4 linked regions of the Alligator mississippiensis genome follow. The protein of the gene in region 4 interacts with the protein of the main gene of each other region in a pairwise test. Links are inferred from orthologs where the notes say so. Each region holds a gene or a part of one and is shown on either strand. Other genes may lie near its edges. The genes, in order: PIMREG, MRM1, MCEE and AGTRAP.

Region 1 (7,428 bases), on a different chromosome or scaffold from region 4:
TTGATCTACATGTTAAACAGAATAAATTACATCTGACACTATAAAGGAATAACCTGCACTAGCACAAAGCTTCAAATCCCTAGGAACATATCAAAGCACTAGGACCTGTGAAATCAATATGGTCTGAAAGAAATGCACCATGTTTCCCCCTCCAGTGAAACAGTGTCCCGTTGGGACTACCGTTTAAGGGGGCACATCAATTTAAGGTGGGTAAAAGGGCCTTGTGGGCTTTGAAGGGCTTCACTTTCACACTGGCAGTTGAGTATAAGGCTAACACGGGCATGGCCTCCTGTTCAAATCAGGAACAGGAGAGTACAGTGTCTCTGTCCCCACCGTACCTGTAGGATGTGCTTGTAAGATGGCAAGAGATTGGTGAGGGTGGGTCTCATTGTCCAGTCCGGGTCCCTGAAATAACAGCTGCGTAGATTGATGCTCCTGACAGGGATCTCTGCTAACAGGATCCTGGCTAACTTGTCATGCTTCATGACTCTTTCAAAGAAGAAGTTCACTCTGAGTTTGGGGGCTCTCTTGGCTAGGTTTCCCCAGGATACCCCCCAGATTATTTGCCTATGAGGGTCATGGATATGGCATTTGATATTTAGGGTCCAGAGAGAATGGGCATTATGTTCACACAGCGTGTCCAGCAGTTCATCGGAAATGCAGTTGTAATTGAGGCTCAGGATGGCCAGATTGCGGAACTTGGACATGGTTTCGCAAAACAGGGGGCTTCTGTAGACAGCGAGGTGACGCTCGAAGAAATTTTCTATGTTGACTTCAGAGGCAAGGCTTTTATTTTTCAAGTAGCTCAAAGAGCTCAAAAGCTCACAGCCTTCTTCCAGCGTCACCCTGGCTCCTTTCAAACTGAGATGATCCAGATGGGAGCCTACTCTTTTCAGGAAAAGTATTAGGTTCTTGATAAACTGATTCCTGGTCACGATTTTCCAGACCAATCGGTCCAACTCCAGGTGCTGCATACTCAAGGACACCAGTCGGCTGTTACATTTGCCCAAGCGTGAGAGAAGCCCTTTCATTGTCACTTGAAATTTTCGCGTCAAGATAGCATTGTAAGGATTCAGGAACCTGATCTCGAGGTGTTCCAAGTACTTGCCAAATTTCTTGACATACCACAGAGAAGATTCAAGCTCTGATGTGTGCAACCTAGAAGGCCTCCCACGAAAGGTGATGGTTCTGGTTCTCCAAAGAGACCCTGCGTACATGGCCTGACTCCATCTCTTACAGACTAACGCAGCCTGGGATCTGTCCCTATCGTCTAACCACCAGAACACGTGGCTGAGGCAGACATCAGGTAGATATGCCCAGCAGCTCTGCTCATGTTCACTGTCATCCTCCATGAAGGAGACAGTCAGTTCCTGCTGGGGACAGAATCAAACCTAGGTGGTCTATAGATCAGGAAGGCAGTGGCTAGCTTCTTGGCTGTCTCCCAACAGATTAAACTCTTCCAATCAAGTGGCTAAAATGTTGCTGCTCTGCATCTAAAAGCATTAATCCATCCTTTGCCTCCTTAGGATCTCTGGTGGCCAAATGAGCTCTCAGATCTAAACTGTGATCTAACCTAAATCAAAAAAGAGAAAAGCAATGAGTCAACTCCCACAACAGGAAAAGCAAAGAGCACAGTTTCAGCCCCTTGACTTCCAGCAGAGCTGAAGCACCTTGCAGTATAATGGGGCAGAGGTTTCAGTTTATCTGCGCAGAGTCCAGAGACCCCTGAGGGTGGCTCTTGTGCCTCATCAGATGTTTCTGAGCCTCTCTGAGCCTCTCTGAGCATGCTGGTGTCCGTACAAAGCACCACTTGCTTTTGCACTGAAAAGATCACTGCTCTGCCCAGAGCATACTAAATCTGCTGATTTTCCTTCTGCCTATTTCAGCAGGCACTTGAAATACCTGCTGGAGATTTTTTTTTTTTTTTTTTTTTTAATTTCTGGAAACAGCTCTGTTTGAAGCATGTATTCCCTGAGAGGGAAATAATCATCATGCAGTTCATCCAATGGAGTCATCCAGTTATTGGAAATGTGGACAATCGTGCCCAGTAGATCGAAGACCCAAGAACAAGTGGTAAAAGGAAGAGACCAACACCACTCAGTATACAAAAAAAATTAGTTACCAGTTTTGACTTCCAGTCTGGATTGCTTGGGAGCTACTTGGGCCTCAGCACCCTTCCTCCTCTGATCTGCTCCCTTCAGGGTTCAGTGATCACCATGCCTTCCCCCCGTCCCAATCACAGGGAGCTCAGCTATTGCCAGGGAGCAAGAGGTAGCCTTTGTGATGTCATGGGCACTGACCTGACTTCAGGGCAAGCAAGGAGAGGGCACCGGCCCTAAGCCGTGGTTGCATACGGCTAACATGACAGTAATGAGGAAAGAAATCGTGAACAGGGAACCTCACAGCTGCTTACTGCCTCCCGTCAACAGTACAGTTACGTATGTGGCAGCTGTCACACAGCAAGGAACGAAAGCAATGCTCGCTGCAAACGAGGACCTGCAAACTTCAAGAGCGTGATGCAAGCTGATTTTCCACTGCCAATAACAAGTCCCAAATCAGATGAGAGGAAAGCATGCAGAAGCCACAGAAAGTTCTCCAAACAGATCTGACAGGTGTCTAGATCATATCCTGGTTTTATTTCCCCGCCGCCCCAGCTATTTCTCTCTCTCTCTGACCTCCCTCTACATGACTTATCCTTTTGTGTGCAAGTACAGCTCCAAACCCTGCTAAAAGATACAGAGACTTGTGCCATACCTCCGGATACTGTAACAAGGCAGTTCTGCAGCTAGGTTCTCTGCAAATTTCCCTAGAGATATGCTTAAAGGGAAAAGGAGTTTGCAAGTACAGGAAGATACTGAACACATCAGATGGAGGAGCTCGGAGATACACCTGGGAGTCACTGAATGATGATGAGAAAGGGAACGCAAGCATACCGGACTGAAACAGCACCAGAGAATAAAGTTGCTGATAAGATAGGGGTGACTGCTCCATGGTTTTGGACTGCTAAAATTAGATCATATGATAGCCTACGCTGCATCCATTCACCCGCATCCTTCTCGGCCACGGTGTCACGATGCCACACAGTTATCACTAGGTGTCAGCACAGTTTAGCTGTGAGATAAAACACGGACAAAGTACTAGCCATAGAAGGGAAAGAACTGACCTCCTATCACAGAGGCTTTCAAAAAGGAGGCAACTGTTCAAACAGAAATGTCTTATGGGAAAAGAGTTGAAGTGAGTCATTTACGCATTTAATGATTTCCCTCTGCAGTAGGATAGAGAGCCATTCTCTGCACCTGTGTTTTCTGCGTGTGAACGGCAGCATACGGCACACACTGTACGGTGGGCAATTTGATTTGAAACCTTGCCAGTAATGGAAGATCTGAAATTGGATCGTTTCCTATTCCCTCCGTTATAACGTTCAATTGCCATATAGATTGCAATTCATTTTGATCAATTAATCCAGATGCTCTTATTCATGCAGAGTTCTCAGGAAGCGCTCTGAAGACAAAGAAAGGATTTGATCCAGCATCAGCTATTGAGAGCGGCAGCAACTGTAACTGAGACTAAGAGAGTTAAGACACCCAATTCCTGCAGCGTCTAACTTTATCAGAGTCCCGGCCTGCGTGATGAAGCGAGAGCAGTGGTTAAACTTTTTAGACCCGAGGCAGCTCTCTGACACTTTCAGTGACTCGCCATGTCAAAAAATAAATATGGGAAAATAATAGAGCAATTCTTCTGTCGCAAAAAAATTGGGATGTTTATCTTGCTAGGGTGATCTGACCCCCGCTGACTTCCTGCCCCTTGGACAGGGGGCTGGACTCGATGATCTCGCGAGGTCCCTTCCAGCCCTAATGTCTATGAAATCTATGAACTCAGAAAGACCCCAACAAATCAGAACGTTTTTAACAAAGTGGATTCTTCTTTGAAATCTCTGGACTTGCCTTGTGAATCGTCTCTAGGTGCTTGCACACCGAGCAGTGGTAACACTGTGGCACAAGAATCTCAGGGCACCTGGTTGAGAATCGCTCAGCATTGCCACTTGCGGTCACTTGGTTAACCACACGACTCATCACCTACCGCTTGCTTCCCTCACCGACAACCACAAACCACACCTGTGGTTCCAGACTGCTGGGTGCAAAAGAAAACTGCAGCACCTTTCCCACCCTGGCTAATGTGGACAAAAACACTGTAGCAAACGATGCAGCAGAATGGGCTGGGGGTGGTTTCCTCTGCAGCAGGGCCTGGCCCGCTTCAGCCGACAAGGGACATTTCCTGGAGGCAGGACAAGCCTCCTTCGCACACCTCCCAGAGGCTGCTGCTGGCTGAGCACGGGTCAGCGTCTCGCGGGGAAGGGGAGATGCTAGGCTGGGACTCGGCAGAGAGGTTGAGCTGCCGGGCCGAGCTCTGCTCCCGGCCCTCCCAGCCTTGTCCCGGGCGGGGCGGGGCGGGGCGGGGCCCGGCGGGCCGGCCAATCCGCGCGGGGCCCGCGCAGTTCAAACCCGGAGCCGCGGCGGGACGCGCGGGCAGGTAGGAAGGCGGGCGGGCGGGCGGGCGGGCGCGGGGCGCGGGGAGCTCCGGCCCGGCGAGGCGCGGGGCGCCGCAGCTCCACCCCGCTCCTGCACGCTCGCACCTCTGGAGCCGGCTGCAAGAGCAACTGGAAACCGAAAAGATGCGGGGCTATGGAGGGACGGGGCTAGGAAAGCCCGGCAAAAGAAGGCATTGCTTTCTGCGGATGCTTCCTAAAGAAATCCCAAAAAGACATTGCTTTCTGCTGATGCTTCCTAAAGAAATCCCAAAAAGGCATTGCTTTCTGCTGCTGCTTCCTAAAGAAATCCCAAAAAGACATTGCTTTCTGCTGCTGCTTCCTAAAGAAATCCCAAATAGGCATTGCTTTCTGCTGCTGCTTCCTAAAGAAATCCCAAAAAGGCATTGCTTTCTGCTGCTGCTTCCTAAAGAAATCCCAAAAAGGCATTGCTTTCTGCTGCTGCTTCCTAAAAAAAACCCAAAAAGGCATTGCTTTCTGCTGACGGTTTCTAAAGAAAACCCCCAAAAAGGCATTGCTTTCTGCTGCTGCTTCCTAAAAAAATCCCAAAAAGGCATTGCTTTCTGTTGATGGTTTCTAAAGAAAACCAAAAAACCCCCCAAAAAAGGCATTGCTTTCTGCTGCTGCTTCCTAAATAAAACCAACCCCTCCCCCCCCCAAAAAAAATAGGCATCACTTCCTGCTGCTGCTTCTAAAGACAACCCAGAAAAGGCATCGCTTTCTGCTGCTGCCGCTTCCTAAAGAAAGCCGGAGGGAGGGTGGTGTCCCACAAGGGAGGCGGGTTGCCAGCTCTGCTTAAATCCGTTTCCAGCATGCCAGCGTGCACACGAGGCAATGCGAATGTGCCCGCATGCTTGCATCGACCTGTTGCAGATCACAGGGCGCAGACTTTAGGTTGGGAAGGCAAAGGTGCACGGCTATGGCATTTCAAAACCCCACTGAACTAACATTTAATATTTATTTTAATGAATGGCCCAGCATTTCCTAGGCATTAGGGACTGGAAGGGACTTTGTAAGATCATCCGGTCCAGCCCCCTGCCCAAGGGGCAGGACGTCAGCTAGGATCAAAAAATCCCAAAGCACCCAAATGTTTCTTACAAGAGTCCAGAGCAGGCGCTTGCACCACCTCTGGAGGAAGTCTAGTCCAGGCCTCGGGGGCTCGGACAGTAAAGAAGTTTTTCCTTATGTCCAGCCTCAAATGGTCTTGGAGGAGTTTGTGACCATTCGACCTTGTCATCCCTCGGGGCGCTCTGGTGAACAGGCGTCCCCCCAGATCCTGATGCACACCCCTGATGTACTTAAAGGCTGGCACCAGGTCACCCCTGAGCCTGTGCTTTTCCAGGCTGAAGAGTCCCATAGCTCTCAGCCTGTCTTCATAAGGCTTGTTTTCTTGCCCTCTGATCACACGCATAGCTCTCCTCTGGACTCTATCTCCTGGGTGACTCAGCAGTCTCCTGGAGATTTATATCTAATTCCTGGAGAATCCAGGGCAATCCTGGAGGGTTGGCAACCCTAGCAACAGCACGAGCATGACAGGGATGCAGCCCCAAAGCGAGCAGGCTGCGATTCTCAGCTGCAAGGTCAGGGCTGAGTGACTTGCAGGGTGCACCGTTCGTAAGGACGCCTGGGCCTTAGTGGCCGAGTAGCAGCAGCCGGATAGACCTGGACGTGCTGCGTCGGGGAGCTGTTGTGCAGAAGCACTTGCAATGCAAATGCAGCCATTGGCATGCAACTCGACCATCCCTTTTGAGAGCCATAATAGTCGAGGCATGCATGCACACCCACCCACACCAACACAACTTCACAGCCTGCTTGAAATACAGGTATGGCAGAGGTTTCAATAGATAACCTTTAAGGTCTTGGGAACAAAAATCGGTAACCTCACTGGTCACCAAAACCCATGCATTTACTAAAGACAGTGATAGCTCATTAAAACTTACTGCTCCCCCTCTTCACCTCTCTGTATCCTCTTCCCTTGTGAACAATCTTACTCTTACAAAATGGGGGTTAACTATGTAGCAACTTGTCTTTTCTTGGTCTGTAACTACTTCTGATACCTTCTTCCTCCACAGGTTTACTACTTCCTTTTCAAAAATGAGCCTTTTTATTCATGCAATAGGGTTAAACAAAAGCATTTTTTCCTAAATGGTATTTACCTTGCTTCTCTCCCAGACCTGAAGAAAGGCATTTGGTGCCCCAAAGCTTGCCTAACCTACCCTCCACCTACAATAAATGCCAGTAAATGATGCGATAAATGGTCCCATAAACGATATTGCTTCTTGCACATTCCCGAAATTAGTGAAACTGCTGTGCATATTGCAGTTTGTCCTCATACCTATATGCAAAATTGTATTTAAGGAAGTCATCGGTTTATTGTGTGCTTTTGATATGTTACTGTCCTGTGTAAGCCCTTGCAGAAGCTGACCGTGGGGTGTTTGCTAGGTGGATGGGTGGTTGCTGAGGCTGGGCACGGAGGGAAGCCATCCACGAAACCCTTTCAGAGCACGCAGCACATCTCAGTAGAGTGCCCGTTTTAAAGCTTCATTATGCTTCTACACTGCGGTACATTTATTAATATGCAGTGGAGTGTTGAGAAACATAGTTGGCTCTTATCTCCAATCACTAAAGCATATCTGAATGCAATTTGCTTTGCCTTTTTTTTTTTTTTATATCATTTTTAAAGCAGCTTCCTTCTGAGTTCATACAGTTCAGTGATTCAGCATGGGGGACTTGTTTATTAGCAAGAGCTACTAACTTAAAGTATTCCCTTACAAGGAAATTGAGAGTAGGTCGTCTGCTGACTATGCCCCATAGGAGACCCAATCTACTGGTCACCAGAGTCCAGAAAAAATGGATGGGAATGAAGGGTGAACATTTATCAA
Region 2 (7,430 bases), on a different chromosome or scaffold from region 4:
AAGGGTCCTGGCACCACCACTGCAGATGCTCAACAAACAGGCGAGAGAAAGTGTGCACTTCAGAAATGACAGGGTGTGTGTCTGCAAAAGGCAGGTTTGAGATGGTGTCTTTTCTGTTCCCAACATCTGCTTAGATTCAGAGATTCAAACTTTCTAACACTTGTATCCTTTCCACTAAAGTAAATATTCAAAATAAATACATAAATAAATCCAGGAAACCTGGTTTCTTCTACCTTCAGGAATCTTGGAATATCATCCGTGCTGTAGACGTCCAAAATTTCCATAGCTCCAGCACTGGCTTTGCTCACGACTGGTGTCAGGGGGCAGCTGCAAGTAGAAAAGCCAAAAAGTTCCCAGTGAACACAAAGCACATTGAAAATCCTGGGGGACGGGGGAAAAGTGTTTGTTACCTCACTCTTTGCCCTTTGAGATGTACTTTAGATCAGTTTTCTACTCACTACTATATGGATGCACGTGCCTATAGGAAATGGGAGGTCCCGAACCCAGGGAGGAGGTAGCAAGAGGCGTTTTGAGCACAAGTGAAAAACTGAAGATGGTAAAACAAAGAAAGAGGCCAAAAAAGCACCTGTGGCTGGGTTTGTCTCAAGAGGATACATGGCAGGTAGCTATTGCAACCACGGGCCCACCCAGAGAGGAGGATGAGCGCTATTAGAAAATGATGCAAACCCCAGACTTGTGTCCCCACGACTCTCCTGCCACACACCTCTATCCCTCAGGTTAATCCCCAATTCACCTCTATGAAGCAACTGAGAAGAGAGATGATAGGGGAAAGCAAGCCCCTCTTAAGCACCTCTCCCACGGTTCATCAGCCTCACACCGTCCTCCTCTGAACACCCACCTCTGCCGTAATGCCAACTAGACGCAAAGCACAGGAGAGCTATGGAAATGCTGGGATTATTACCCTGCTCATGTGCTATTCCCAGCAATCAGTCGGCATCCATCTGCGCCCTCTTATATTTGAGGACAAGTTCTCTGGGGCAGGGGCTACCAATCCACTACAGGCACAGGCAGCGCCTGGACAGACTGGCATCCTGCTTCCAGTCCCTAAACAAATAGTGGTCCCACTTCTCCAGAACCTCTCCCCAAAAAATAAAATAAAATAACAGCAACCCTATGCAGAGGAATAGTCACTCAATGGGCATGACCCTGCCAAGCAGAGCGCCCTGGGGTGAGGCTGCAGTTGTCTGTGGAGTGAGAACAGCCACTCTCTTTCATGTTTGAACCTCAGCCGAATCGAGAATAAACTCACACTGGACGGTAGAAAAACAGCAGAAAAGGATTCGGAGCTGTGCTTCCCTTCGGCACCTGGGCCGTTTGAGTCACATTATACACTCCACTTTTGAGCTATAAACATCTGGCAACCTCTGTATGTGCACGACACAAAGCCAAGCTTTTCACAACGACGCAGGCTTTAGTTCCTTCCATCCCAAGACAACCCATCTGCCAGCCTTAGGATTTTATACCGTTCATCATCAGGGTAAGCGAGCGTCTTCCACGTGAAACAAATAACAACGGTGTGGTCCAGGGTGGGTTACATGGAGTCTGGCTATTTGATTCTCCGAGTTGTTTGGGATAAAAAGGAGCTACAGACGTGCACCAGACATTAACGCTGCCTGGGAACCGGCAGTAACGTGCAAAGGAAACCTTGCTACAAAATACAAAGCACCGCATTTACCTGTTGCTTCTGCTCATCACCACTTGGTCAACCCCTAAGAAGTACGCGCAGCGGAGCACCGTGCCCAGATTCATGGGATCTTGTATCTGCTCCAATAGCAGCCAAAGCTGCTGTGGATCCCGACAGGCAGGAACCTCAGTCTCCTCCACGCTTTTGAGGCCGAGGGGAGAAGCCTCTAAGCAAACCCCCTGGTGCACCTCATCTTTACAAAGGGCATCCAGCACCTCCCTCCTGACGTAGCGCACAGACACCCCACGGGCCTTAGCTTGCTGGACAAACTCCTCCATTACCGGGCGCAGGCCGCTGCTGCTCGACTTTACGAATAACTGGAAAAAGTTCCTCTTGGCCTGCGAGAAGGCTATGGAGCAGGGGCCGACGCCAAACAAGATCTCGGAGCCTTGCGTTCTTCGAACGGACAAAGACTTCTGCGAGCGCCGTCTCCACGGTTTTGAAAAATCATCTTCTCTCAAGTTTCTAAATTCCTCTCTGGATGATGCAGCCGGCCCCGGGCTCTTCTTGTACTTCCAGCCCAGCGGCCGACTGTCCTTCGGGGGTTTGCAGCTTCGGGGAGGTGGCGGCGACTCGGGGTTGACCTGTTCGGACGTCCGAGTCCGATGGCCGTCGTGCTGCTGCCGGTTCCCCTCGTCCCCTCCCTGACCAGGCGACCCGAACCGTGCCGGCAGATGCTTCTGCTTGCTTGAAAAACATCTGGCCGCCCAAAAAACCCCGCTGCGACTGCAAGCGGACCGAAGTCGCCTCTCTTTCCAGGTGCTGAACTTAAACGCTTGCATTGCTTCCAGTGCAAAGGCCAGTCTGGCAGAAGAGGTCACTGACGCAACAGACGTGCACAGAGCCCAGATGGGCTGCATATCTGACGTCCCGGAGATGCCAAAAAAAAACAAAACCCTGTGGAGAGACAAAAACAGGACTCAATTTTCAGAATAGAGACGCTTAATAAAATCAGAGCAAATAACGTAGGGTGCAATGCCAGGCGGGGAGCTTGTTGCAGAAAAGGAGCGACTGTGTGGACACTGACAGGAAAAAGCTCAGCTGTGGGGGAAGTGTGGCTACAGTTTAAACCCACTGCCTCACCCCTGGAGGGGCAGGGAGTAGCCCATGGGGGGGCTCCCTCCCCTCAGCCCCCAGCAGCTGCAGCAGCCCCTGGCTGGGCCCGTCTGAGGGGGGCGGGGGAGGCCCCACAGCCCGGGGGGGGGCAGGGCGCACGGCTCCCCTCAGACCTGCAGCAGCCCCTACCTGGCAACCACGTGCCCGCGCTCCGCTTCCGGGTGCCGCTGCGCTGCCCTCGGGCGCCACCTGGTGGCCGGCGGCCGCCGCCGGGCAGCGCAGGCGGGGCACGTGCGTCCTGCATGGACCAGACCTGGGGCCCGGGCTGCGGGAGCCGCGTCGCGTTTCGCACGGATTTTACTCTGTATGCACCAAGTTGCACTGCCAGGATCACATTTTGCACGGATTTTCCTCTATATTCACAAGGTTATAATACCAGTATGACATTTCACACTGATTTTCCTCTATAGTCACCAAGTTATGATGCCAGGATCGCATTTTGCACTGATTTTCCTCTATATTCACAAGGTTATAATGCCAGGATCACATTTCACACTGATTTTCCTCTATGTGCACCAAGTTATGATGCCAGGATCACATTTCACACTGATTTTCCTCTATAGTCACCAGGTTATAATGCCAGGATCACATTTCACACTGATTTTCCTCTATGTGCACCAGGTTATGATGCCAGGATCGCATTTTGCACTGATTTTCCTCTATATTCACAAGGTTATAATGCCAGGATCACATTTCACACTGATTTTCCTCTATGTGCACCAAGTTATGATGCCAGGATCACATTTCACACTGATTTTCCTCTATAGTCACCAGGTTATAATGCCAGGATCACATTTCACACTGATTTTCCTCTATGTGCACCAGGTTACAATGCCAGGATCACGTTTTGCACTGATTTTACTCTATATTCACAAGGTTATAATGCCAGGGTCGCATCTCACTGATTTTCCTCTATATGCACCAGGTTATAATGCCAGGATCCCATTTTGCACTGATTTTCCCCTATATTCACAAGATTGTAATGCCAGGGTCACATTTCTCACTGATTTTCCTCTATATTCACAGGGTTACAATGTCAGGATTTGACCTGACATTCGAGACACAGTACATGCCTGGGTCCAGAGATCCTGGGTCCAGAAAATTATACAGAAATAGATGCAGGTGGCATTTGCTTGGACAAAGGTACATATTAAAAACATCCAATTTTAGATGCTTTTTGGTTTGTTTGTTTGTTTTTTGGCCTGTAACAAACAGGGCTAATAGCTGGAAAGCTAAATTTAAGAAATATTAAATCATTACACTGAAGTTTTGTCTTTTGTTGTGGTACATTGGTACAGTTATCATGCTACACTGCAAGAGTTAAGCCAACCCCCCCCACCAAAGAATATATTTAACTAGACAAAGTCAACATGTACAGGTGCCCGCAGGAGATAGCTCAGCTCCTGGGGGGAGGAAGGCAGGGGAGAGGAGGGTGCAGCCCAGCCCCTTGGGAGGAGCAAGCCCCGGGCTGCATGAGGGCCGTGCATGCCTTGCAGCACCCCCAGCCCTGTCCATGCCCCAGGGATGCCCTGGGTCTTGCACCCTGGCTGTGGCAAGTGTCCTGGGAAGCAAGCACCCTCCTGTGAAGATGCCCACCTTCACCCGTGAGAGCCATCACAGCCCCTGCCCTGGGTGCCCTGGTGTGGGCAATGGCACTGATGCAGGGAGACGGCGGCACCCCACGGGGAGAGGACCCAAGTGGGCACAAAGCCTGGTGTTGAAGTGGTGTCTGCCTTCCCTCCAGTGGGGACAGCATCCCCACATCTCCCACACCCCAGCCTGGGGTTTTCTCCCAAGAACTGCCATCCAACCCACCTGGCTCCTAGAGGACTTTTAGAAAGAAAACACTGGGGTATGGAGACGACGCACCTATGGGGTTTGTCTACCTGTGGTACGAGCTCATCTTGTAAAGATCCAAGTAGCTGTCCTAGTTATTGAGTGTACTGGTTTGTAATAAAGTAGTGCTTGGAGACCCCCAGCTAAATCGCAGCTCCATTGCACTAGGTTCGGTACAAGTCCACGACCATCTCTGCCCCAAGCAGCCTATGTTTAAATGGACAAGCCTGGTATAAGGGGCACAGAGATACAGAGAAGAAAAAGGGTTATCAAGTAGCTCAGCTCAGAGCAAAACCTTGGTCTCCCAAATCCTGCGTCCTAATGCGCTCACTTTGCTAGTGTTTGCTTGGCAACAGCAACCACTTGGTTTTTACCCCAAAAGACCCCCATTTCTGCAAGAATCCCCAAAGACAGAAGCCCAAGTCTTGCTATTCCTAGTTTCATAACTTGCTCTCATTGTCAGACAACCCCTGGCCATGTGGCAGAGACGTAAGGATGCTTTATTTCTAAACCTAAGGATGCTTTATTTCTTGGTCACCAGCAGAGAGCGCTTGGCATCTACTGAAAAGGCCAGAAGCAGCCTGGTGAACAGAGACAAAATAAGGCTGACACCGCAAACAAGCAATAAGGAGCCACACTCACCTGCAGAAGCCAAAGGAGGTACGTATACCTGGACTGAATCTGGCTCAGTCTGTCAACGAGAAAATGCACAGGTTTAAAAGCGCTCCTCTTGTACTGACCTGATGGCCTGATGACGGGTGTTTGTGCCCAAAAGCTTGCAATGAAAGAATTTTTTTTTTTGCAAAAATCTTGTTGGCCTAATAAAAGATATCATCTCTACTACGAGCCCTGATTGCTCATTGCCCCTAACACACCAGGTTGCAAGGGTTTAACAAACCCAGCTGGCTGTGTAAAAGGACCGCAGAGGACTGATTAGGGTTGCCACTTCTCAGAGCTCAATGCCTGCCATATAGACACATCAGGACAGCCTGGCACAAACTGTTGTGTCGTATGACCCATCGTGTCCAGACATACTGACAGTGGAGTGACATACTGATCCAACAGTGTGACATGGGCCTTGTCTGCTCCAGAAAGTTGTGCTGCTTTAGCTGTACCTGTATAATTTTACCCCGCCTCACGTGGATGCAGTTATACCAGTATCAAAGGTGCTCCACGGAAGTGTCATACAAAAAAGGGACGTATCTACAGCAATATAATTAAACCTCATAACACTGTACCCATGTTAGTTAAAAAAAAAAAATCCCCCTACTATATGACAGACCGGTCGGTGCAAGCTGCAAGTGTGGGCAGGATCACAGCATTATTTGGGTCACAGAACTGTGCTATGATATGTAGATGAATTAGATATAGTGCTACAAAGCTGCTGACCTGGAAAAAAACCTTAGCTGTCCCACAAAAACTATGATAGCTGTGTGCCTGCAACCTGCTACCCTGCTGGGTTGCTTTCTCCAGGTGCTGAAAATGCTGCAAACCCTGCTAAGGCAGACAGGCCAAAGGGACACGTGCAGATGCTCTGCCACCAGCTAGCAAAATCCATTGCTCAGGATACTGCTTCAACACTAATTCACCATCTTTCCATCCACAGCTCAGGTGCAGTCTTGGGAGAGTGAGGCTAGAGGAAGGGGGATCACGTCATCCAAATACAGAGGTGAAGCACTGCTCCCGAGAGCACAAAATGCATCTTTCACGGAGCCCAAAGCCAAATCCAAGTCCTGCGTTTCATCCATTAGAGAACAGTGAAGATTTCAGGATAGTTTTCAGGCCCATCACCTGGCTGCTCTCCCCTTTAGTCCCCAGACAACCATTTGAAAAAAGGCTGATGTTGAAGAAATGCAACCCCAGGACTCACTCAACAATGAGCTGAGGGAGCCCGGGGGCAGGCCAGGGCTTTTGCTCTAGATTTCTTTTTTTAATAAGTCTCCATAATTAATAACGGTCTCATTAAAATGTTCTCGCAGGAGCAGACGGCCTGCCAGAAGCACAGGTGCTCCAAAAACCTTTGCCTTCTAACGAGCGCCCTCCAAGGCATGTTGCTTAAATATTACAAGCAGGCACAGAAGTGAGTCTCCTCCTCTGAGTCGCCGGAGATGAAAAGATCTTGTGTACGAGCACTGCATTGGAGCAGCGTGTGAGGAAGCAGGGTAAGGAGCCTATGAAAGGAGCTACCTGATCAGCAGATCTTTGGCCATATTCTCCCCGCTTCGCCAGCTTTGCTGCAGAGCACAGAAGCGCAGTCTAGGAGTGTTACTCATCCATCCCCTGGGCTGCCCTGGCAGCGCCGAGCTCCCCGTGCAACACTCCTGAGCCTCAATGGAGTGAAGCTGGTCTGTTCAGCTTCCTTTTCCCATTTGATTCATTAGGGCGTTTGGTGCCATTAGGGTGGAAACTACTTACAAGAGGGTTATATATTATATAATGGGCAAGAACCCATTTATCTCCCAGGATTTGTTTTCCCAATGCTTCTGCTTGCGTACTTCTCACAGTCCTCTGAGTTGCGGTAGCTCCTAGTGCAAGTCATTTCTCCGTGGCATCTAGCCAGGGTTATTTGATGCTGGGGAGAGCCCTAAGGCCTTGCAGGCCTCTGGCTAGCTGCAGACCAGGTACAGCATGGGAGGGAAGTCACCCCTTTGTAAGCCAACTTATCTAGCTGACAGGAAGCTTAATTAGTATCTATAAGAAGTCTCTGAAGATGTGCAGACAGGCAATGTGATCTAGAAGAACGCACGCAGATGTGGAGGTGGGGGACTCCCAT
Region 3 (7,579 bases), on a different chromosome or scaffold from region 4:
TGTTATACTAAAAATCAAACATCTACTGTATGTATCATCTATAAATTTATTAAAATTATATATTCTGAAAGATTTTAAGTGAGGGGTCCTTGACAGCTCATCAAAACTGATTAAGTGGTCTGCCAGTTGAAATAATTGCCCACACCGTTCTAGAAGGACACTCCAATATATGCAGAAAGACAATAACATGCACCTGTGACAAGATAGTGCCCAAGGGCAGCTATATTACCTCCTTGTGGCCCCCTCTGTCTTTTTTGGTCCCACTCAGATCTCCCTGGATGACAGCCCATTCACTTGTCTACCATACCTTGTTGGTAGAGAAAATTAATGGGGGAGGCTGCCCACCTGAGATTGGCAAGTCCTCTGGGGCTCTCCCTCTCTCCTATTTGTTTTTGGTACTTGTTTCCTCAGGTCTTCCTTCCTCCCCTACCACCACACCAATATCTCACAGATGACACAAGTTATCATTTGAGTGTGCATCTCATCCCTTTACACAGCTTGGCCCTCTGGCCACAAAAGTTTTGTTGGGGCTTTAGCCCCCTTCCTCTAGCTCAGTGGTTCTCAACCTTTTTTGTACTAGGACCCATTTGTAAACATCAGTGGCCAGTCCTGACCTAGTGGCCCTGACTCCCAACCCATTGCTCCCCATGCCTGGGCTCCAGTCCCAGTCAGCCCCTCACAGGCTAGAGCTCTGCCAGCCTGAAAGGGAAAAGTCAGTTTCCCAAGTTTTTCTCCTTTAAAGGAGAATCCATTTTTAAAGTTTGTTTGCAACCCTTTTGATATATTCTTGCGACCCACAGGTTGAAAAACACTGTTCCTGACCCCGGCATCTGGGCCCCAGCCCTGGTCTCACCCTTCCAGGCTCTGGCTAGCCTGCTCATGTTCAGGCCTCAGCCACTCCCCTTCTCTGTCTTTTCTGGTTTGGGTTACTGGCCCTCTGTCTCATACTCCCACCCTGGCAGGGCTGCTACCATGCCTTCCTGCCATCCTATGGCCTCCTCCTCACAGCCACACCTCATCCATTAGTATAGACTGGAACATAAAAGGAAGAAGCTACAGCTTTAACAAAAGCCCACCCTGCTCAGAACAAATAAATATAAAAGAAAAAAATGCCTTCCCATCACTTTAACAAAACCCTCTCATTCTCAGGGTAAAATAAACACACACCCTTTCAACCCTTATCTCCTGGGGCTCTCTCCCTGCTCTGTTTCAGGTGTTCAATGCTGATTGGAGTCTGCCAAGTACCTCCTGGAATACTAGCTCCCTTTTATGTCTCTCTGACCCTCAGAGAGCTGAGGTTTTTAAACACCTGGGAGAGGCTTCTTCTAATCAGCTGACCCTCCCTGGTTGGCATAGCTGCATCTCATTAATTCTCCCCTACAGCTTGCGCTGTTTCCTGGCCCTTGCTAGGCTTTGCCACAAGTAATCTCTTTAGTAACAGGAGCCTTTTTTCAAACCTCCTTTCAAACATTTTTTTCCCTTCTCCATCTATGCTTTTTGAATGGAATGGTTTAATATAATCATCTACCTCTTTTCAAACCTCCTTTCAAACATTTTTTCCCTTCTCCATCTATGCTTTTTGAATGGAATGGTTTAATATAATCATCTACCTCTTTTCAAACCTCCTTTCAAACATTTTTTTCCCTTCTCCATCTATGCTTTTTTAATCAAATCGTTTAATTTAATCATCTAATATCTGTGTACCACTGTTCTCTGCATGACAAACTATGCTGTGCACTCTTTTATTTTGTCCTGGCAACTGCCTCCACATTTTACAGGCCCAGGGGTCTCCCATTGAAAAGTGGTTGCAAGACTGAAACCTAATTTTGCAAAGTGCTTTAGGAATCAGTTTATGTGGAACACTATATGTAAATTGCGGATTTGACCTAGCAGTTCTTTCTTAACAGAAATAATCCTCATTCCCATGAGTATGCCGATTGATTTACATGGGACTACTCATATCAGTAAAGGCTTACAGTATCAGGCCCTGGAACTGTATGCTATATAATCATCTGTTTGCTGCTGTTGCTGTTTTCTCCCTTGGGTGACTTTAATACAACTCTAGACTTGGATATTCTCAGTACTGAATAACATATTCTAAATATAGTAAAGCTACAGTCATCTTACTATGCAGTTTTGTGTCTATAACCTAGATTCTAAGGGGTTTTTTGGACTCCCATTTTCAGCAGATATTGTGAGAACCAAATGTCTGATGGTATCCTGCTTTACCAGCCTAAAGATTCATCCATGCACATATTTACACAACTGTACCATTCACAATGATTAATGTTTCCCCTTCAGTTCTAGTATTTTGTAACAATACATGATGGCTTCCTGGTCAGATTAGTTCCACCAGGCAAACTCTGCTTTGAGACTATGTAAACAGCCTTGATGTAGGAGCTTCAGCAGGGGATCGAGTCCATCTTCTCGGTAGGCTGCAAGCTTCTCTGCGGCTGTTACTCTCTTAAGGTTCAGTAATATGCTTGTTATGTGTGAACTTTTGTCTGCAGAGGTTAATACATGTCAAGGTTACACACATCATTATGGAAATATGGTACTGGCCTGGCCCCTGTCCTGCCTCAGCCTTCCTATAAACCCTCCAGTGCATACTGCCTATGGGGCATAAGGAAGAAGGAACGGGGAATAAGGAAACAGCTATAGCCTCATTGCATGCTGTGCCAGTGGAGCAAAGCTTTACAGTGCACAAACCATTCACACTTGCTGCAAAGACTCCTCCATCCATACTTTCAACTTCACTCAAAGCTTTCCACACTCTCCTATAGGAAGAGGAACATAAATATTTATGCCATCGTTTCTAACACAACAGTTAGCTAATTATTGGGTATTGCAGTTTATTTCAATAAGAAGGAGAAATTTCTTGATACAATCCTGTTTATATACAAGGAATGTACAAAGTCCAATTTTCTGGTATGGAGTAGGAATCACCAGCTCCGTACCTAGACTTCTGGCAGCCCCAGGGAAACTTTTACTATTGGGGCCCCCTTCGCCAGAGATAATAATAATCAGACAACAGAAAAAAAATTATCATGTTCATGTCTCCTTTCTGTCCGGGCCCTGGGCAGCTGCCTGGTTCACCCATGCCTGTATTCGGCCCTGGGAATGACAAGATAGCTTTGCTTATAGCTCCAAGTCTCTTTCATCCAATTTTTTATCTAAAAACCTCTCCCCTTTTTCTTCAGAGTCATACTACACAGGCTTTTGTGGCTGTATATGGGTTTTTTTAACTCCTCCTAAATGCCAGTACTATTCCTTCCATACAAAGAGCTCCAGCACCCTGTCCTGATCCATAGCTCTCAGTGATCTGTCAATTCTGTGTGTAAATATCCTTTAAAAAAATCAGGGTCCAAAACCTACATTTTCTGCATCAGTTTCCATGCCCAACCTTGTGAACTCTTACACGTGTGTACAGCTTTATGTGCATGAATAGCTAGGGAACAAAAAATAACGTGTTAACTTTTTGTTCATGGGTAACCCCCCAAATTATTGTAGGACAGAGACTCAAGAATCTAAGTACTGCAAAACTGGAAAGAGAAATCCCAAGGGTTAGTAACACAGCAGTTTTCTCTGTACAAGCCAGGAGAAAAGCACAAAGTAAACAAGACCCAGAGTGACCTGTAAACGAGCACTTTAGGATTCTTTTAACAACATGAAGCATTATCAGTCAAGAAACAGGACACCGCCTCTCATCTGGCAAGTTTTCCAGTACTGGCACAGGAGTAGGCCTCAGCTAGAGGACAGGATTTTCATTGCCTTTCTGACCCAGTGATTCTCAACCGGGGTGCCCTGAAACCCTGGGGGTCACAGGATGTCATGCAATGTTAGCACAGTTAGGCGTGCAAGCGATGAACCTGGAGATTTCAAACAGGAATCCAGAGCAGCCAAGCCCTTCTGACCTGCTCGGGTTTGCCTCCATCCCTGAAAGTGACCTCGAGTCTATCGGGGGGCACCTCGAATCAAAAAAGGTTGAGCACCGCTGTCCACCAGGAAGGTGTGGGGGTCTGTCCTCGAGTGAGATCTGCCGGGGCTTTGCTCCTGTGGCCAGCAGGGCCTGGTGGCTCAGGCCCCTCAGGTTGCTTAGCCCGACGTGAGGGATGATGTCAATGGGATTCAAATTGCCAGGGAGCTCGGGGGGCTGAGCCCCCCATAAGAGACAAGGTCCCCCTGTAATATTTGAAAACCATAACCCTAACTGGGGTCTCCAGTTTTATTAGGGCACCTGATGGGCTGCCAGTTTTTTTTGCAGACCCCCACGAGAGTCACAGCGTCCTTCCATCCACCCCTGACGGCAGGGACCTGACCAGGGAGGGCTGCTGTCCCCCTGCCAGGTTTCTTCCCAGAACAACTCCGCCCCGCGCCGCCCTGTCCGCGGCGGAAGCTGTCGATAAAGTTGGCTTTGAATGACCCGCGGCCAAGATGGCGGCGCCCACGGGCAGAGCGGTGGCTGGCGCGGCGCGTGAGTGGGTCTCGCTGCGGGGCCGGGCGGACGCGGGGTCCCGCTGCCCCTCGCGCAGGACGGCTCCTCTCCGCGGCCGGGCCCGGGGCAGCGACTGCACTGGGGGGGAGGGCGCTGCTGCCACAGGCACGTCCTTGGCCTTGGTGGCGTCTGCTGGCCGCAGCGTCCCCCCAGCAGCGGGCGTGGGAGACTTGTGGAGCTGGTGGCTCGAGCCCGGCGGGGCGGGTTTCCCTTGTGCACGGCCGCCCGGCCCCGCCGCCGTCGGGGCAGCTTCCCTGCGCGCGGCCTGGGGAGGGAAATCTCCCCTCCGTTGGCAGAGGCCTGTGGCTGCCTTTGCCGCACTCATTTGTACCAGTCTCGTGCAGCTTAAGGCCTCCTGTTCCTGTTCTTGCCCCCCCCCTGCGCAGTGTGATTGACGGTCTCTCCTGGGAGCCAGCCGTCTGAATTGCTGTGTCCAAACCGTGCTATTTTGTTTGTTTAACTGATGACTTGATCTGGAGCGGGCTGTTGAATGCCTGGCATAGCCCTGCCTAGGCTGGTGTTTGATAAGGGAGCTGAGGCCCAGTGCCTGGGTCTCCTCTAGGCCCGGGTCTCATCTATGCCCCTGAGTATATAAGGGGTGCACCAGGCTGTGGGAGAACAGTTGTTCGCCAGGGCTCCCCAAGGTCTAACGGCCACAAACTTATGGTGGTGCAAGCACCGACTCTGGACTCATTCAAAAAATGTTTGGATGCTTATCTTGCTGGGATCATTTGACCCCAGCAGACTTTCTGCCTATGGCAGGGGGGCTGGACTGGATGATCTCACAAGGTCCCTTCCAGCCCCTAATGTCTATGAAATCTATGTCAAGGACAGGATCCTGGGCTGCAGCAAAAAGGCACTTAACCCATGGGAGAGGTGGCACCTTGCTGATCCCAGAGAGATCCTGGAGTCATCGAGGCGATTCTAGTGTACATTAGAGAAGCCTGAAGGCCAACGTAAAGCGTGCTGGCTGCTACTGTCCCTAACGGTTATTGGTCCTTTCAGATTGCTGGGCTTTAGGAATAACAGGCCGTGATCCATTTGTGCTTGTGCCAGTGTGGGGAAGGCAGTGTTGGATATTTTCTTATGCCTTAATGCCGCATGAGGACCCTCTGTTAGCTAGAATGTGGCTTCACTCGGACACACAAGAGAATTGGGTGCAACTGATTAACTGGTGTCAGGGTATGTAACTTGATTCACATGGCATAGATTTGATCAAGTGCCCATTAAATCAATTGGCATCTCCCATTGACTTGCACGTGTACAGTGATACACTATTTATGTAATTATGTGAAGGGTCCGGATCTATTTTTTGATGTATGTTGCACTATACATTCCCTGCTTATAAACTCTTGTCACTAAAAGTATGTTAGTTCCCAAGGATAGGGACTACTGTTAGTGTTTGAACAGTGCTGAGTACTTTGATGTTGATCAGTGAAATAATAACTGAATTCAAAAGGTAGTCTAAATACATGCTGGAGCGAATCATTAAACATTTCAAAAGGTACTGAAAGGTTGAAGAAAGTGACATGACACACATTATATAATCTTTGTGAAATGTACGTGAAAGCAATTTTCTCTAAATGGTAATATTTCAGAAACGTCAGCCAAAAATATCCAATTTTCTGCTATCTCTAAAATATATAATAAAATAGGTCTTCAGGGCTCCGTATTGAGTGCAATGCTGACTATATTGCTGATTTAAAAAAAAAAAAAAAAAGCATTTACCAAAGGCTTAAAAACTATATATACTGCATTACGAGATTGGAAGGAAGGCACTTTTGTGGTTTGACAGTTGGTTAAAAGATAAAAATCAAAGGGTAGGGCTAAATTGGGTGGGCAAAATACTGCCCATGAGGCTGGATCTGGCGCACTGATTTTGTCCAGCCTACAGCGGGTCACCTTGCCCTGTCCAGCCCAGGCTGTGGCTCATGTAGGGCACAGCCCAGGCTGTGGCTCATGTAGCTGGTCCCACTACCCCTAGGCATTTAGCAGTGCTGGGTGGCGCAGTGGCCGGGCTTACTTCCTGGCAGCAGCCACTTCATCTGGCTGCTGCCTATGCACCCTGGCCTATTCATCCCATATCCACTGCTGGCTGGGCAGATGGGATGGGGCTACAGTCAGGCAGGGAGTAGCATCTGGGAACGGGAGAGTTGCAAAGGGTGCCAGTTCTGTGGACAGGGACGTGCAGCAAGTGGATCATGGCTCTGCCTTGGGTCCCAGTCCCTGCGCTGTCACTGCCTCAACGTCCCGGCCCTGCCCACCCATTCTGCTCCCAGATGCAGCTCCCCATGACCCGTGGCCACCTCTCATCCAACTGGCTGTGTGCCCTGCCCTCTCAGGTCCCAGGCAGTCTCCATGGAGTCGGTGAAAGTGTGGGGCCAGGGCAGTGCTGCAATCTGCTACCTGCATACCTCTGCCTGCAGAACCAATGCCTGTCACAGGGACTTGCAGGGAGTGGATCGACTCTGCCCCAGCCCTGTGGTGTCATGGCCCTGCGATCCCAGTTCTGGGTCGGCCCTACCCACCATCCTGCTCTCAAATGCCACTCCCCAGCGCATCTGTGCCTCCATCTCAACCTCCTGGCTCAGCACTGAGCAGAACCACTATGGGGAGTTTTGCTGCGCTGTTGTGGGGAGAGGGTGCAATGCTGCTAACCTAGCCTGCAGCAGTTCACCAAAACTCCCTGTTACCTTCTGGCCCAAATAATTACCCATCTCTGGGTTAAATGCTCACTTTTCAGGATGGAAGGGGGTCAAATATGGGGTCCCACAGAGATCTTTGCTGAGCCCTGTTTTGTTCAACAGTGACCTGGAAGTGGGGATGCACAGTAACATCAAGTTTGCAGATGAAACCTAATTATTCTGGGTAGTCAAGTTCCAAGCTGACTGAGAGGAGCTGCAGAAAGATCTCACTAAGAACCTCACTAAGTGAGTGAGGTTAAAAAAAAAAAAAAAAAAAAAAAAGGCAGGTGAACTTCAGTGTCAACAAGTGCCAGGTAATGTACCTGAGGAAAAATAACCCCATGTATACATAATGATGGATTTTGAATTGGCTATTACAAGTTGGGAAAGAAACCTTGAA
Region 4 (7,110 bases):
CCACTCTTAGCTTTCCCTTAGTTTCTGACAATGAAAAATATAATAGAACAATCTGCTGTTGCAAAGAACTCAGAAAGACCACAAGGGGTCAGAGTGGACTTAACACCATGGATTCCTATTTGAAATCTCTGGGTTTGTCCTGTGAATCCCTCCATTGGCACACCTACCAGTGCTAACATTGTGTGGCACCCTGTGCCACCCTTGAAAAGCTCTCCAGGCATCCCTGGTTGAGAATCACTGGCTTGCACAAACAAACATGCAAGAAAGCTTTGCTTGGGCCTGTTTTCACAACTGGAAGTACCTGAGGCTGCTGTTTCCCCATTGGTGTCTATAGGACCCCACAGCTTCCCTAGTACCTCCACCAGGCAAGCTTATATCCAGTCCAGGCCAGGAAGTGGCCCATGAATGGGGTCTCAACACTTTGCAGACCCTTCCCCTCTAAGGGAAGGGAAAGAGTCTGTCTAGCTTCATCCCTGTGTATCTTCCCTGGGTTTACACAGTGCAGCCAGGGTCTGGAGGTGAGTGGTCAGAGCTCACCTGGGAATCCCACTGCTTTGGCTGAGCAGGGCTGAGTACCTGACCCAAAGCCCAGTCTGGAGAGTAGAGAATAGTGCAGTCTCCTAGTCCTCTCCCTTATACTGCCAAGAATACAGCAGGATGGGTTAGCAATGGTACCACCAGGATCAGCACTGTACCTAGACTCCTGGCAGGTGAACTTTTAGTATCGGGCCCCCCTTTATCAGAGATAATAATAATAATCATTATTTTCACCATTTTTGGGCCCCCTTTCTGTCTGGGCCCTGGGCAGCTGCCCGGTTTGCTCATGCCTGTGTCCGGCCCTGACCAAGATACTTAGCACAGACCACCCCGTTGCCTGCTATTTGGTCACAGCTGAGCTGCTCTGAATCAGCCAGCTAGTTATAAGAGTTCTCCAACCTGCTCCCCGCTGCCTTCCAGTTCTCGCAGGAGCCTGGTTTCCTGAACCTCTTGCTTATCTCTTATGCTGTGTTTGTGTCCTTTAGTTATATCACATCCCAGGATTGAGCAGAAGGCAGCCACAGAGGCTGCAACACAGTTACGTGGTAAGGCAATTTACAGGGTACAAGCAAAGAGAAGCAGAGAGAAAAAATAGGACTGACATGCCTGAGACGTGCAGATGCATAATGTGTGCAATGGCTCGTGTTGTTTTCATCACCGTGAGATCATTAAGTCATTTCCAAATCCCTTGAGTCCGTGACATGCAAGCTCAGGATGTAATAATCAGGGGTGAACTAATTGCACGACACACTGAAGAACAAAGGAGAAGAAAAGTGCTGTATTATGGAAAGAGGCCATGCATTAAACAGCAATTACATCAATCCAAATTGTGGTGCTTGCTGTATGAGGGATGACTTCGGTCTCAATCTGCACCAAGCGAAAGTCTCAGAAGGAATCAAGAGTCATAAGTCTCGCTGTATGCAAACAGTGATATGATCCTCAGATTCAACATGACCAGACTGCAGCAGGAATGTGTCTCTAAATTGATACTGTCCTTTCCCCAATGCTGTGATTCCCCAGGTGTTGCCACAATAAATCAGTTATTTAGTCTCTGGTTGGTAAAGGGATCAGACGTGCAAATAGCCATAATCACCTGAGCATTTCTACTGAATCATGCTTTCAACCTGGGCCAAAGCCCTGCAAGGGACAAGAGAAAACTTCCAATATGAGTCTGTCTATACCGGGTGACTAGCAGGTGAAGTGTCTGCTGCTTCCATCCTGGGACTTCATCTTCACCATTTGACGGCCCGGATTCCCAGGAGATGGGTTCTCAGAACCGTGGGAGATCAGATCCGGCCGTTCAAGCTGTGTCATGCTGAGTGTCTGAAATCAGCAGCTGCTTCTGAAAGTCTTGGCCATCTGTTTCTGTGGGTAGACCGAGGCTCTGTAGGAAATGGGGAAGTGAGAAGCAGCTTATCACCCAAGTGGAACGTACCAACAAGGGAGACATTTTCTACCTCTTCTGGGGAAAACTGGTACAATAGGAGCTTGCTCAGAGGACTTGTGCAGCTAGGTTAGCTCATTATCATCATCATTTGGGCAGGGGGCTGGACTCGATGATCTTCCGAGGTCCCTTCCAGCCCTAATGTCTATGAAATTATTGCTGGTTGGGGATCTTCTGGGGCTATCACAGATCCTGCCTTGTAAGAGTCCAGGTGTAACTAAACAGCAGTAGCAATACATTTCTCAAGTAAACTTGCCCTGTGCTGAGCCCTCTTCTCACTTGCTGGCTCTGCTGTTTATGATCTCAGTTCTCTGTGTGGCATTTAGTAGACTAGCACCTTATAAATAACAGGTCACTTCACTTTGGCATTTGATTAGCATTTTCTAGATCCCAAAACACAATGACTTCAGCAACCAGGGGGACTATAGATGCAATGACAGGCAGGTCAAGTAGGGCAAAAATTGTGTCTGCTGGGAAGATCATTGGTTCTAAATTAACTATTGTCCTGGATTCCCCAGTGCTTCCTGCATAGCCTTGCATTGCAACACTTCAACAGTAAACCAGATTACGATATGACTCATCCACTTCCCATTCTGCTTCCGTTGGAACTCGGGACTCTTATTTCTCAGAGGCTTCATCTCTGCTGTGAAATGGGATTGCAAGGAGCAGCTGATTCAATTAAAGCATTTCCGTCTGCAGAGGCAGGTGAGTTAAGTGTCTGCAGGACAAGGAAAGTCAGGTGAGGAAGATGATGCTCTTTGATCCTTTATATTCTCTCTAAAATGACTCAGGGTGAAATCCAGTCCAGAAGTCAGACCATAGGCTAAGTGAGTGGGACACTGGGAACTCTGATCCCTGCCTAGCTGTCTGCTATGAACCTCTTTCACAGTGGGGGATGGATTCATTCCTGTTTCCCCCATGCCTTGCTGAAAGCTGTGAAATGGTCTCACTGTGGGAGGGCTGGGAAGGGGTGTGGCTAGGGTGGCCATCATAGAGGACAGTCTGGTTGCCAGTCTTCAAGAGAAAAATAGAGGACAAAGGTGTCCAGTTTCATATCAATAGAGGACAGAGTAGCAGAAAACAAATTTGAAAGCAGCTGAAATTCATTTCAGAGTGTCCTCTATAATGGGCACCCTAGGTGTGGCATGAGCTTTCTCATCTCTTCACAAGAGGTATTTCTCTAGCAAAGGGGATTTAGGATCCAGATGGCTTGTGGCCTAAAACAGTTTTTTTAAAAGAAATTTTTCATGTTCCAAGCCAAATCAAGTCCAAATCTGTGAGTCAGTCCAGAACTGTAAGTGGCCCTACACCCAGCAAACATCCTCCACCCCGCCTGGAGCTTCAGATATTTCCAAAGTCTTTTGGCTATCACCCTATGTGCAGGCCCAAGCCCGGAGGCCTGGCGTTCGGATGCCCCCAAGTTTTGCCTGCCCGCAGCCATATGGCCGCAGCAGCAAGGTAGGGAGCAGCCTCCCATTTCCATAAAGTGGGCATTAAGCCCCAACACCTCGTGGGTACAAAACCACGCCAGAAGAACAGTTCTCTCGGGGAATACTTAAGGAAAACTGCCTTCCTGGACCAGATACACAGCGTTTCCTCTGCCAGGTAAGTATTAGGCTTGCGGCCTAAAACACACAAAGGTAGAAGGATGCGCAGTCACATGGGAAACATGAGTATGCACACACGCAGCCTCCACGGGGCCTGTCCTGGAACCTCTCCCCGTTCCCAGTGAAAGCACACGCTGCTCCTGTTACCAAAAGGGACCGATCCACCAGCGACTGCAGGTGTGCAGAGCCCCGCACAGCTGTGGCCAGGGTGCGAAAGTGCCGGCTGCCCCTTGAAGTGTGTCCTGGTTGCCTTTCCCCACCAGAGCTCTGCGGCTGTGGCTCCTGCATGGGTGGGGTGGGTGCTGCTGGTGTCCCTCCTGGGGTGGCACATGAATGAAGCGCAGGCTGTGGGTGGGTGACAGCCAGCGTGGGGCACCCTCAGGCACTGGCTGTTGGCCATCTCCCCTACCCCCGGGGGGGGCCGGCTGCCACCTCCCCGGGGCCTCTCTCTGCAGGCCGGCTGTAGAGGGGCGGGAGAAGCGGGCGGCCCCACGCGGGGAGTCACGGGGCGGCGCGGGCGGCGGGCGGAGCCGCCCCGAGTCGGGAGGCGGAGGGTCCCCGCGCGGCAGCATGGAGGTCCCCGCTGTGAACCTCAAGGTGCGGGCGAGGGCAGGGCGAGGGGGGACGGGACGGGACGGCACCTCCCGGCGGGCGGGCGGGCGAGCGAGCGGAGAGCGCCGCCTGCTTCCAGCCCGGACTTCACCCCTCCGGCGCCGCTCCCTGCGGCTGCCACGGGAGGTCCTCCCTGCGGAGGGTGGGGGGCAGCGGTGGGCGCAAGTGGAGATGAGGACAGGGCAGGAGGAGCGCAGTGGTTTCACACAGTCCAGCCTTCAGACTTGCTTTCTTCTTCAGGCCCTTGGTGCTTGCAGGACTCTTGGCTGCGGTCCAGGCCTCCTCCCCCTGCACCCCTGATGCTCAGCGATGAGTGGGGTGCTGGGGCCCTGGGTGCTGGGGGGCGAGCGCGGGAGCCAGGGACTTCCTGAAACGCTTGTCACGCTTCTGTCACGTGCGTGTTTCTGCCCCTGCGCTGCAGAACATCAGGAAACAGGCAAACTTCCTACCGGGGGGGAACAGGCAGCATTTCAAATGCATTCTTGCAACATGAACCCTGTTAGTTATTAACCTAGTCCTGCCACAGATGCTACTTTCAGGCCCGGCGTTAAGAGCCTGGAGGCTGTGAGACGCAGCGGATGGTTTGTTTTGCTTCCTAACAGAGCTGCCCTTTGCCAAGCTCAACCTTTGCCAAGTTTTCAGATAGGGTGGTGCTGGGCAAGGCTTGTCTCTGAGGAAGGTCACCATGCCCCGCTAGATTTTGATCACTAAACCTTGGTGCGTGTGATATTTTTTAACCTGCAGGGTTTGAAGCCCCTGCTGAAAAGCTGCGGGCCAGGGCTGTGCAGAAAAAGAGGCTCCCTCAAGTGTAAGTGCGAATCAACACCTTAGTGAGAAGCGTGTCCTTCCTAGGAGAGGGGAGATGAAAAAAAGGCTTGAGTGCTCTTGAACTGGCTTCTGACTGAGTTTGTCTGGCGTCCAGGCACCTGGCTGGGGGGCTGGAGCTCCGCATGAGGGTTGTCTGCGTTTGTGGAGGTGTTTTTGCAGAGTAACTCCAAAACAATTGTGCCGCCTCACCTCACGCGCCCAATTCCTTTTGGATCAGCTCAGCTGCTTGGTGCCGGTTGCGCAGCATCCTGGGTAGGTGCCACAGGCGACCAGGCTCTCTGCACGCAGGGTTGTTCCTTGTGTGTTGCTGTTGGGACTGGCAAACACCCAGGGTTGCTGTTCCCCCTCTCTTGCTTCCCGTGCAGTTTTGCAAGCTAGCGTCGTGTTTGAACTGCTGGCAGTCAGCGTGCAGGGGATGCTGCTGCGCCCCACAACCCTAGCAGTCCTTAATATGCAGAGGCTACTGCAGCTATGTTTGCCATTGCAAGAGTGGGCGACTGTGGGTGCCAGTGCTGCTCCCCTGAGCTGGGTGAAGGTCTGAAAGTGGATTAGCCACTAGATGAACTTTTCCTGGATTGGTTTTACTCTGTGGAGCTCCAATTCTCTGCTCAGGGGAGCTCACACTACCTAATAGGAACGGATGGCAGTGCAGACTGCGGATGGGCAACAGCTGTAGCAGATCATTGGCTGATGTGTTTGCAAGAAGAGCAACCCCAAGCCACATCAGGGGCACAGCTGCCTGTGGGTCCCCCTTCATGTGGAGAAGCACAGGCCCATTGCCATCTGGAAGTCTGCCGCCCTCAGCACTCCAGACAGCAGCTCACCAGTTTGGGGCTGGTCATTCAGTGCTCAAGGGTGCTGTTGCCATGGAAATGTGTTGCTATAGAGGATGCTGGTGCTTGCAATATGCTACATTGTCAGAGCCTCAGTGGGGAGGATGTCTTATTCCCCTGCTTTGAGGTGAAGCACTGGGAATTTGCAATAAAGAAGGCCCTCAGGAGAGGGCACCTACAAGGATTTCAAGGAGCGGACCCTTTGGCCATAATAGCCTTGCTCCTCACCGAGCTGCGTACATGGCAGCAGCTTTTGCATTCTGCTGGTTTAAAGGTTGCATCACTGCTTTCAGTACACCCCAGCAAAAGAGCATGGAGCTTCGTTTTTCCAAACAGTCAAGATGTGGAATAGATGCCTCCCGGTGCCCGTTGTCTGTGGGTGTGTGCTGCTCTGGTGGCAGACTGCTATAGACACAAAATCCCTGCATGGGCCTGCCAGGGGGTGCGGGTGCAGAGTCCCCATGCTCATGGTGTCTTGGTGGAGTCGCGAGGAGAGGGCCCCTGGCTGGAACCGCCGAGTGCCCCTTACGTTTCAGGGCAAAGCTACGTGGGGTTGTGGACTGGGCAGGAACGCTGCATCAAGTGTTGTCCAGCCACTGGTTCTGCATGTCCTTGCTTGACTGCTGTCCCTGCGCCCTCTCCAAGGAAGCCTTCCCCCCTCTCCTGTCATCCTTATACAGCATTTCATCTCTGCTTTCTGTCTTCTCTCGACCTGGGGCCATGCCAGGTGCTGTGAGACCAAGGAATCACGGTCAGGATGTCCTTGTGTGAGTTGGGTCAGCAGTGATATAGGAGTTGTTCTTGTGCCAATTCCGGTCTCTGCAGCAACTAAGATAAGATGTTGCTGACACCTCAGTTTGGGAAGGCCACTGGCCAGGTCTCGTCTCAGGCTGGGCTGAGCTTGGAGGAGTGAGATGTCTCCCCTCTGCCCTTCTGCTGGCTTAAAACTCCTTGGGTTGGAGGTTTGGGGGCAGCAAGGGAGAAGGGTGGCTCAGAAAGGCAGTTGTAGCATTGCTGTGTTTCCTGCTGCTCAGCCAACTCAGAGAAGTCCCAGCCTCTGAGCTGCTCGGGGGGTGGGGGCACCCAGGCTGTCATGAGAGAGCACGTGGCCCTGTGTTGTTGGGGCCAACATGGTGCATGCTCTCAGCTGAAAAGTCTCCCTTGTGACCTGAACGGATCAGCCCAAAACAGGATATGAAGGCTTGCACTGTCATTGTCCTGAATCTAAACAGTTAACAATGCTGAGTTT

The links.
Region 1: the proteins of AGTRAP (region 4) and PIMREG interact in binary tests that used the Homo sapiens proteins (3 or more experiments, as listed by UniProt). The two-hybrid records come from large-scale screens. The link is inferred for Alligator mississippiensis from reciprocal best matches to the Homo sapiens genes AGTRAP and PIMREG.
Region 2: the proteins of AGTRAP (region 4) and MRM1 interact in binary tests that used the Homo sapiens proteins (3 or more experiments, as listed by UniProt). The two-hybrid records come from large-scale screens. The link is inferred for Alligator mississippiensis from reciprocal best matches to the Homo sapiens genes AGTRAP and MRM1.
Region 3: the proteins of AGTRAP (region 4) and MCEE interact in binary tests that used the Homo sapiens proteins (3 or more experiments, as listed by UniProt). The two-hybrid records come from large-scale screens. The link is inferred for Alligator mississippiensis from reciprocal best matches to the Homo sapiens genes AGTRAP and MCEE.

The regions. Positions count from the first base shown.
Region 1 is NC_081837.1:9,024,448-9,031,875, forward strand, and holds the start of PIMREG (protein PIMREG), read left to right. Parts: upstream 1-4,423; 5' UTR 4,424-4,530; intron 4,531-7,428. Other genes in the region: F-box only protein 39, read right to left, coding at 339-1,352. UniProt on the Homo sapiens protein: During mitosis, may play a role in the control of metaphase-to-anaphase transition.
Region 2 is NC_081837.1:5,044,276-5,051,705, reverse strand, and holds the start of MRM1 (rRNA methyltransferase 1, mitochondrial), read right to left. Parts: upstream 3,012-7,430; 5' UTR 2,951-3,011; intron 2,603-2,950; 5' UTR 2,566-2,602; coding exon 1,697-2,565; intron 328-1,696; coding exon 234-327; intron 1-233. UniProt on the Homo sapiens protein: S-adenosyl-L-methionine-dependent 2'-O-ribose methyltransferase that catalyzes the formation of 2'-O-methylguanosine at position 1145 (Gm1145) in the 16S mitochondrial large subunit ribosomal RNA (mtLSU rRNA), a universally conserved modification in the peptidyl transferase domain of the mtLSU rRNA.
Region 3 is NC_081834.1:35,436,901-35,444,479, forward strand, and holds the start of MCEE (methylmalonyl-CoA epimerase, mitochondrial), read left to right. Parts: upstream 1-4,559; 5' UTR 4,560-5,589; coding exon 5,590-5,677; intron 5,678-7,579. UniProt on the Homo sapiens protein: Methylmalonyl-CoA epimerase involved in propionyl-CoA metabolism.
Region 4 is NC_081836.1:12,387,400-12,394,509, forward strand, and holds the start of AGTRAP (type-1 angiotensin II receptor-associated protein), read left to right. Parts: upstream 1-4,101; 5' UTR 4,102-4,158; coding exon 4,159-4,185; intron 4,186-7,110. UniProt on the Homo sapiens protein: Appears to be a negative regulator of type-1 angiotensin II receptor-mediated signaling by regulating receptor internalization as well as mechanism of receptor desensitization such as phosphorylation.